Linked DNA regions of Yarrowia lipolytica. The protein of the gene in region 1 interacts with the protein of each later gene in a pairwise test. Links are inferred from orthologs where the notes say so. Each region holds a gene or a part of one and is shown in the gene's direction. Other genes may lie near its edges.

What was found. The genes of interacting proteins can lie anywhere in the genome.
Region 2: the proteins of YALI1_D14004g (region 1) and YALI1_F09563g interact in binary tests that used the Saccharomyces cerevisiae proteins (3 or more experiments, as listed by UniProt). The link is inferred for Yarrowia lipolytica from reciprocal best matches to the Saccharomyces cerevisiae genes DOA1 and HSE1.

The regions. Positions count from the first base shown.
Region 1 is NC_090773.1:1,397,734-1,401,997, reverse strand, and holds YALI1_D14004g (uncharacterized protein), read left to right. Parts: upstream 1-1,541; coding exon 1,542-3,716; downstream 3,717-4,264. Other genes in the region: YALI1_D14058g (uncharacterized protein), read left to right, coding at 1-410; YALI1_D13976g (uncharacterized protein), read left to right, coding at 3,973-4,222. UniProt on the Saccharomyces cerevisiae protein: Ubiquitin-binding protein involved in protein ubiquitination, sorting and degradation. Acts as a ubiquitinated substrate-recruiting adapter for chaperone ATPase CDC48 by binding mono- or polyubiquitin chains.
Region 2 is NC_090775.1:954,709-958,883, forward strand, and holds YALI1_F09563g (uncharacterized protein), read left to right. Parts: upstream 1-1,617; coding exon 1,618-3,675; downstream 3,676-4,175. Other genes in the region: YALI1_F09598g (uncharacterized protein), read right to left, coding at 3,976-4,175. UniProt on the Saccharomyces cerevisiae protein: Component of the ESCRT-0 complex which is the sorting receptor for ubiquitinated cargo proteins at the multivesicular body (MVB) and recruits ESCRT-I to the MVB outer membrane.

The DNA.
Region 1 (4,264 bases):
CTTGTGGTCTGGCCATGGCCGAGTCCGAGCGATACCTGCCCGTGCTCATCACCAAGCTGGAGGCCGCTCTGGAGGAGTACGGTCTGCGACACGACTCCATTGTCATGCGAATGACCGGTTGCCCCAACGGTTGTGCCCGACCTTGGCTTGCCGAGGTGGCTCTGGTTGGAAAGGCCTACGGAGCCTACAACCTGATGCTGGGTGGTGGCTACCAGGGCCAGCGACTCAACAAGCTCTATCGATCTTCGCTCAAGGAGGATGAGATTCTGGACATTCTCAAGCCTCTGTTCAAGCGATGGTCTCTGGAGCGAAACGATGGTGAGCATTTTGGAGACTTCCTTATCCGAGTTGGTGTCATCAAGGAGACCACTGCCGGAAAGAACTTCTGGGAGGGCGTCGAGGAGGAATAGACGGTGTTATTATTATTATTATAGCTATTATCAAAAAAAATAATTAATGTATTATACGGATAAAGAGGTGAGTAAAACTTGTATTGCAATTTTATAACATCGTACAGTAATGCAGAGTTCCAACCTTAACAAACATGTGAAAAATGGCTGGGAAATTAGTTGGATAATTAATTGAATACTGGCTTCAAAAAGATCTGCTCAAAATGCACAGCAAAAAATGATATACTGTACAGCTGTACATAATTGAGCAGGAGAATAGAAAGTGAAAAAGATATTGCCTTCGACCAGATTTGAACTGATGATCTCAGCATTACTAGTGCTGCGCCTTACCACTTGGCCACGAAGGCATCTGTGAGATCCGCAGTAGACAAATTGCTACAGGACAGACCAAAAAAGTCACGTGGCTGGGTATTTCAAGGGGGCCTAGCAGCGCCAATAGATTACCAATTGAGACAGTAGAAAAGGGGTTACAATCGAGATGCTATTTTAATTGAAAAAAAAAAAACATGTTTCAAAGTTGTTAATACCGCACAACATACCTACTACAGTACATACATACTTGCTCCCCTCAGTAACACACATCCACAGTAAAAGTATCCCAACATCGACTGATTAGGTTCGAGGGCCTGCAGAGGAGGTTGAACTCTTGGATCAGTTGATTCGGGAACTTTTGACAGATTAGACATCGTAGTTGAGAGTCTCCTCCAAAAAAGAGACCAATAACTCCATTAATTCGGGTCACGTGACTGCCACACCGCCGTCCAGCTCATTATCCCTCACTCACCTTGAGGCGAGGCTGCAACTCTCGTGCATTGATGAGATGCAGAGGAGGTTGTGCTCTCACATGTACTTATGGCACAATCGAGAGACAAGTCATATGGATGTAGTGGTAGAAGGGTCTGGTCACATGATCGTGATAGAATATCGACAGCGCTTCTCAGTTTATCTGAAACATTTCGATTGGCCCAACTAGCGCCTTTTCTTTTCAAGTGCGATCCAAGTGAACCTGCTAGAAGCTTCACTTACTACTACCCATCCCTACATACCCTAACCCAATACATGTGGCAACATGCGTAATAACCCCAGAGATATACGTCACACACTCCATCATACATCAATTGACGTCTCATCATGGCACCGACTTACAAGATTTCGAAGACGTTGATTGGACACGAGCAGGACGTCAAGGGCGTCTGTTTCGTTGACTCAGAAGTCGTCTCCTGTTCTCGAGACACTAGCGTGCGAAAGTGGCACTCTGACAGATCGTCAGATGCGATATACAACGGTGGCGGGTTCATGAATGCGATTGCTGCGGCCCCCAACGGCCGTCTCATTGCTGCAGGAGGCCAGGACAAGATGATTGCGCTCATTGGCGACGACACAGCTCGATTTCTGGTTGGTCACGAGGGAAATGTCTGCGCTCTAGACCTTGCTGACGATCTGGTCATTTCCGGCTCCTGGGACAAGACCGCCAAGGTCTGGAACGACGGCCATGTGCTGTACAACCTCGAGGGCCACGCTCAGGCTGTTTGGGCCGTCAAAATCGTCTCTGCCAAGGAAAATGTGTTCATGACGGCCTCTGCTGACAAGACCATCAAGCTGTGGCACCACGCCCAGTGTGTCGCCACCCTGCCTGCTCACACCGACGCTGTTCGAGGCCTTGCTATTTTGGGCGACGGCAAGTTTGTGTCTGTCAGTAACGACACCACAGTCAAATTATGGCAACTGTCATCTGATAACAAGTCAGCAAAGGAGATCAAGACGCTCGACGGTCACACATCGTTTGTCTACTCCGTCGCAGCAATTAGCCCCACAGAGTTCATCACTACAGGCGAGGATCGAACCGCTCGAATCTGGAACGCCACTACAGGAGAGACTACCCAGGTCATCACTCTTCCTTGTGTTTCTGTGTGGTCTGGCGCCACAGCCTCCAATGGCGACATTGCCGTCGGAGGCTCCGATGCCAAGGTGCGCGTCTTCTCACGTGACTCGTCACGATTCGCAGATGTTGTTGAAATCGAGGACTTTGAAGCCTCTGTGGCAAACTCGGCTATCGGCAAGGACCAGGTCGGAGAGATAAACAAGGACAAGCTGCCTGGACCCGAGCGTCTGTCTCAGCCTGGCACAAAGGAGGGAGAGGTTATTATGGTCAAGGGCAACGGAATTGTGGAAGCTCATCAGTGGTCTGCTGCTTCTTCCAGCTGGACCAAGATTGGAGAAGTAGTTGATGCACCCGGCGCAGAGCGAAAGAAGGTGGCTGAGGACGGAAAGGAGTACGACTACATTTTTGACGTTGACGTAGAGGAGGGACAGCCAGCACTCAAGCTCCCCTACAACTCCAATGAGAATGTCTATGCAGCTGCCCAGCGGTTCATTGACCGGTACGAGCTTCCCCAAGGTTACTTGGAGGAGATTGTGCAATTCATCATCAAGAACACCGGTGGCGTCAACATTGGAGGCGATTCTGGCCCTGCGCCTGATCCCTACGGGGGTCGATACGTTCCTGGTGGAGAAGTGAGCGGCCCTACGCCTTCTGTTTCTGCTTCTGCAGCAGCAGCTGCCCCCTCTATCGAACCCGCTCCTTTCCCACTAACAACTCCTCTTTTCATCAACACATACAACGCTGCGGCTCTCAGCAAGGGTCTGGACAAGTTTAACTCGTCCGAAGCCGCCCCTTTGGCTGATGACGAGCTTTCTGCACTCAAACTTGCGCTTTCCAAGAACGAACTGGGCTCCTCCCTGCTTTCAGTGGTGCTCAAGATTGTTTCTAGCTGGTCTGAGCCTCTTTTGGGACTGGATATTCTGCGCCTCATGGCTGAGAAGCTGGGCGCTCCAAAGCCTGAGATTGTCACAGCCGTTGAGGGCGCTGTTGCATCACCCAAGCTGGCCCACAAACTCATGGGGGTTCGGTTTGTGGTCAACAGCGTGGCTGCCAAAAATACATTCCCCGACGTTGAGTCGGTCATTGATACCGTTAAAGGGACTCTGGCTGACTACAAGTCGGAAAAGCTGTTTGGCCAATATGAGACTGCTGTTGCCACACTGCTGCTGGATCTCGCTGTGAACGCATACGACGGTGGCAACGTGGAGGCTGCCTTTGGTCTTCTGCAGAGCATCAGTGAGGTGTGGGAGAAGGTGACTGGCAACGAGGCCGTCTTCCGACTGGCCGTGGCTGCGGGCACGCTGTTTTCTCTCAAGAGCGAGGAGGTTGCCAGCTGTTATGATCTGTTCAACTATGCTTCTCTGGTGGCTCGTCCCTATGATGAGCTTCGGCTCAAGAAGGTCATGGTTAATCTCACCAAGTAATATAGCTGACATAGAAAGATGAATGAATATACGACTGAATGAAGCGACACATGTAGGATGTTTGAATTGTAGCAACCAGAGGAAATATACCACAAGTATGTGATTTTTCTACTAAATCCCCCATATTAATCATTCTCACCTCTATGCTCACTTCAGGGTAACTCACGTTACGCGTCACGTCGCATGCAAGGTTGGGTGTTAATTACCTGAGGCCAGTGTTTCTTTCATCAACATCACACATTTCAAAAACACAGCCATGAGTTTCCCCACAACCCCACGAATCAACAGCGGTCTTCTCGGCGACTTCTATGGAAAGACGGTGCGAATCATCGGCAAGGTCGAGTCTCAGGACGGCGAGATCGTCAACCTGGATGCCAACGGGCCCGTCAAGGTCAAGTCTGACGGCTCCGATTACGTGGTTGGCCACTTCTACGAGGTTGTTGGCAAGGTGGAGGGAAGCGATCAGATTGTTGGTCTGACCGCCACCGATTTCGGAGAGAACATCAGTGAGTAGGAGTGACGGAACGACGGACTAACGGAATGACGCA
Region 2 (4,175 bases), on another chromosome or scaffold:
ACTAGCGCAAGACTGTCCTCTCTCACTTGGTAGTACTCGTGCTTGTACTTATATACCGGCACTCGCTTTATCTCTCCTCTCTCCTCTGACCACGCTTTATTACCACCATGTAAAGAGAGGGGTGCATGAAAGGAGGACGTGTCACAACACACTAAGGCATGGGCGGAGCGATGGCAATGGGCGCCCCCGGATCTTTTGACGTCTGAGGAATCTGTCATATCTTGCTACTTGCATCGCTCCTGTCTCTTGATCGATTATCGTGTTCCGTGGGTGGGCTAAAGTCAATGTGCCGAGGTTGGGGCAGTGCAGCTTCACAGTATGTATTGTACCGGTCCGTGCGGGCCCATACAAGCACCGGCCACCGTTGGCTGCAGAAAAAAACCGTTTGATGCACAATGTAAAGTTGGGGGAGGAGGGGGAAACGGGGTCGGCGACGACATAATGGAATAAATATCAGACGTCCACAACATAGGTGCGTTTTACTGTATAGGTGCGGTGCGTTTTTATGTATTGTATTACGACTTCTCGAACGGTACATGCGCTATCAAGCTATTGAGGGACGCTATTAAAGTAGCAGTTAGACTAACTCTAGATGAGACTATGATACCGTAGATCCCACCGATTAAACACAGCCCTGCTCATGTGTAGATAGATAAATGGTCATGACCAGATCGCTCCGCCCCCTGCATGCACAGAAGGATCAATACGAGTAAAGCTGTATGTAACGTGTACCTGTATTCGTATAGTATTGCTCTTGTCGCAGACTGGTATCATACCATCATGGCTACAGTCTGTACTGCACCAGTTCACCAAGTAATTAGTGGAGGTATCTTCTTCACTGCTTGCTGATGGCATCTGAGGGTATCTGATAAAGAGTAGTGATACCAGTTGAAGTACTGTAGCAAGTCTCTTGATGCAATCAGATACTTGTCTTGTACTCCACCGCATCAGACATCACTATCTGACGGAGTAGTTGTCTTCGTGCTGACAGTCATGTGCAGCATACAAGTAACCAGGCTATGTATGCTATCGTTACTATTTCTAACTTTGGTTGAAGACATAAACAAAAACCAATACGAGGCTTCTACGATACAAGAAACCGGTGCTTGCTATTGTATCTATAATACCACAACTATTGATCGCAATGAGGTATCGTGCAATCTGTTAAACAACTAAACAAGTAAACACGCACTCAGTACAAGTCGTCGTTCATCCTCTTCAATGGTTGTTTTCTCACACCGTCGTATAACCGTACTCGCAATTATTGCCTCCCCCCAATCGCGGGAATCGTACCCCCATGCACCTTACCGTTAGGACGCATGCCGCTCAGCCTCCACGATAGCCTTTGTGTCTCGAAATAGCTACATTTGCGAATGTACTTATAGATAGCCAGCTCGGATCTGTGGTGGTCAATCAATTTCCCTAACACAGCTGACCAGCAGATCCTCCTTGCAGTAACACACGGCTCTACTTCCACAAAGTAGTTAGCCGTCCACATTGCATCATCACTACTCCATCTCACCTCCCAGCAACTTTATTCAGTGGCAATAGTCGCTGCTTGTAGCTACCAACCACACCTCATAGAGGTAACCGCACCCACTCACCACCCTCACAGACATGTTCAGATCGTCGGAGCCCGTGTCGCCACTGGATGACGTGGTCACCAAGGCCACGGACGAAAACCTGACGACGGAAAACTGGCAGTACATACTCGACGTTTGCGACGAGGTGAACAACGACCCCGAAAATGGCGCGAAAAACGTCATCACCAGCGTCACCAAGCGTCTCAACAAGAAGTTCGCCAATACCCAACTGTATGCGCTCACGCTGGTCATCTCGTTATCGTCCAACTGTGGCTCCAAGATGCAGCAGGCCATTGCGTCCAAGGCGTTTGTCAAGACCCTCATGAAGCTGGCCAACGACTCGGCCGTCCACAAGAGCGTCAAGTCCAAGGTGCTTGAGGTCCTGGAGCAGCTGACGGACGAGTATAAAAAGGACCCTTCGTTGCGGCTAATTGAGGAGGCCTACGACGAACTGAGCAGGAAGAAGCCCGATCTCAAGGCCCCCGCCAAGCCCGAAAAACACAAAATCACCGAGCAGGAGCGCCAGCGAGAGGAGGAGGAGCTGCAGATGGTGCTGGCGCTTTCGCTGAGCGAAACAAACACCTCTGGCTCATTTCAGCAGCATCACCAGACCAACTCTCAGATCCAACCTCCTGTTAACAACTCTCATTTTGCCACGGACCCTCATCAGCAACAACAGCAGCAACAACAGCAGCACAACCAGCAGGATTACGGGCAGCAGTCCAACAACGCCAACACCAACAACAACGCTCCGGCAGTCGAGGACCCCACACCTACGGTGGCCACGGTGTCCCGAGTCAAGGCCCTGTATGACTTGAACGCCACAGAGCCCGGAGAACTGTCTTTCCGAAAGGGCGACATAATCACAGTGCTGGAGTCAGTGTTCCGAGACTGGTGGCGGGGATCTCTGCGGGGCCAGGTCGGTATCTTCCCACTCAACTACGTGATGCCTATAGCCGAACCCACTCCCGCGGAGATTGAAAAGGAGGCCCAGGAAGAGCTGTCTGTGTTCTCTCAGAGCAGAAATATTGAAAAGCTGCTGGCACTGCTGTCTTCGCAGGACGCTGCCCGGCTTAATCTCGCCGAAAATGAGGAGCTACAGTCCTTGTACCACTCCACCCTTGCCATCCGGCCCAAGCTGGTCAAGCTAATCGACAAGTATGCCCAGCGAAAGGACGACCTGGTGGAGCTCAACGAGAAATTTGTCAAGGCCCGAAGAGTGTATGATGACCTTATGGAGGCCAGCATGCCACAGTATGGAGGAGCTGCTGCAGCAGGTGGATATGCAGGTGGTGCACAGGGTGGAGCTCCTGCAGGATATCCTAGTGCTCAGGGCGCTCCCGCAGGTTATCCAGGTACTTCAGGTACTCCAGGTACTCCTGGTTACCCGCCTCAGTATCCTCCCCAGCAACAGCAACAACAACAGCAACAGCAGCAGCAACAGCCTCCTTATCCTGTTCAGCCTCTTCAGACACATCAACAGCAGCCACAGCAGCAGCAACAGCAAACTCCATACCCCGTGCATCAATACGATAACACACAGGCGCATGGAAGACAGGGATCTACTGACTCTGGAAGATCACAGCGCATGTATTCCCAGGGAGGCCAGGGAGGCCAGGGACCCACAGATCTGCATCCCGCGACCACCGGAGGAAGTGGGTACGGATTCCCTCCTCAATATGGGGGTGGAGCACCTTCTGCTCCCTCTGCTCCCCATGGAGGTGCTGGAGGCCCCGGAGGCCCCGGAGGCCCTTCTGCCCCTTCTGGAGCCCATTCTGGAGCCCCCTCTGCGCCTCCTAGCCATGCTCCGGCTGCTTCTGCTCCTCACGGCTACGGATCTCCTTCTACAGCTCATTCGGCCCCCTACGGAACCTCCCCCGCGGCCTCTGCGCCCGCCAGACACTCGCCATACATCAATGGCACGCCCACCAGCAACCTGGGACAGCAATCGCCGGTCACCAGCCAGTCGATCCCTATTCCCAACAACAACAACCTGGCTGCTCCACCGGTCCAGGGTCTGTACTCTCATGGCACCTCACCGCCTCCCCCGGTGCCCAATGCAGGCCCCCCTCCCAGTAATTTTTACGAGTAGTTAATGAGCATATGACAATACGAGTGTGCAGTACATACTTGTAGACGTATCCGTGGGTCAATCTGAGTAAGTGTGTGTTAAGGAAACGTCCACTTTTGACGATATCTGTAAGTACAATCAACGATAGAATACCGTTAGTGCCAACGATTCAAATGGGTCCATTGCGTGTAAGTACATTTGTTCCAATACCCTCGACATAGTGGGTCTGGTGACTACATCTCATTAGCTACAATACAATCAAATCATCAATAAATCAAGTGTCAGAGTTTGCACCCTTCTATATGTTGGCAACGCATCCGTCTACTCGTTCTGCTTGGCAAACTCGTTGATAAAGTCCTTGAGCAGCTCGGCGCTCTGGACAGTGACGGCGTTGTAGTTGGAGATTCGGATACCTCCGACGGATCGGTGGCCCTTGAGACCAGTCAGACCCTTGGCAGCCGCCTCCTTGAGGAACTTGTCCTCGAGACCCTCGCCATGGATGGTGAAGACAATGTTCATCT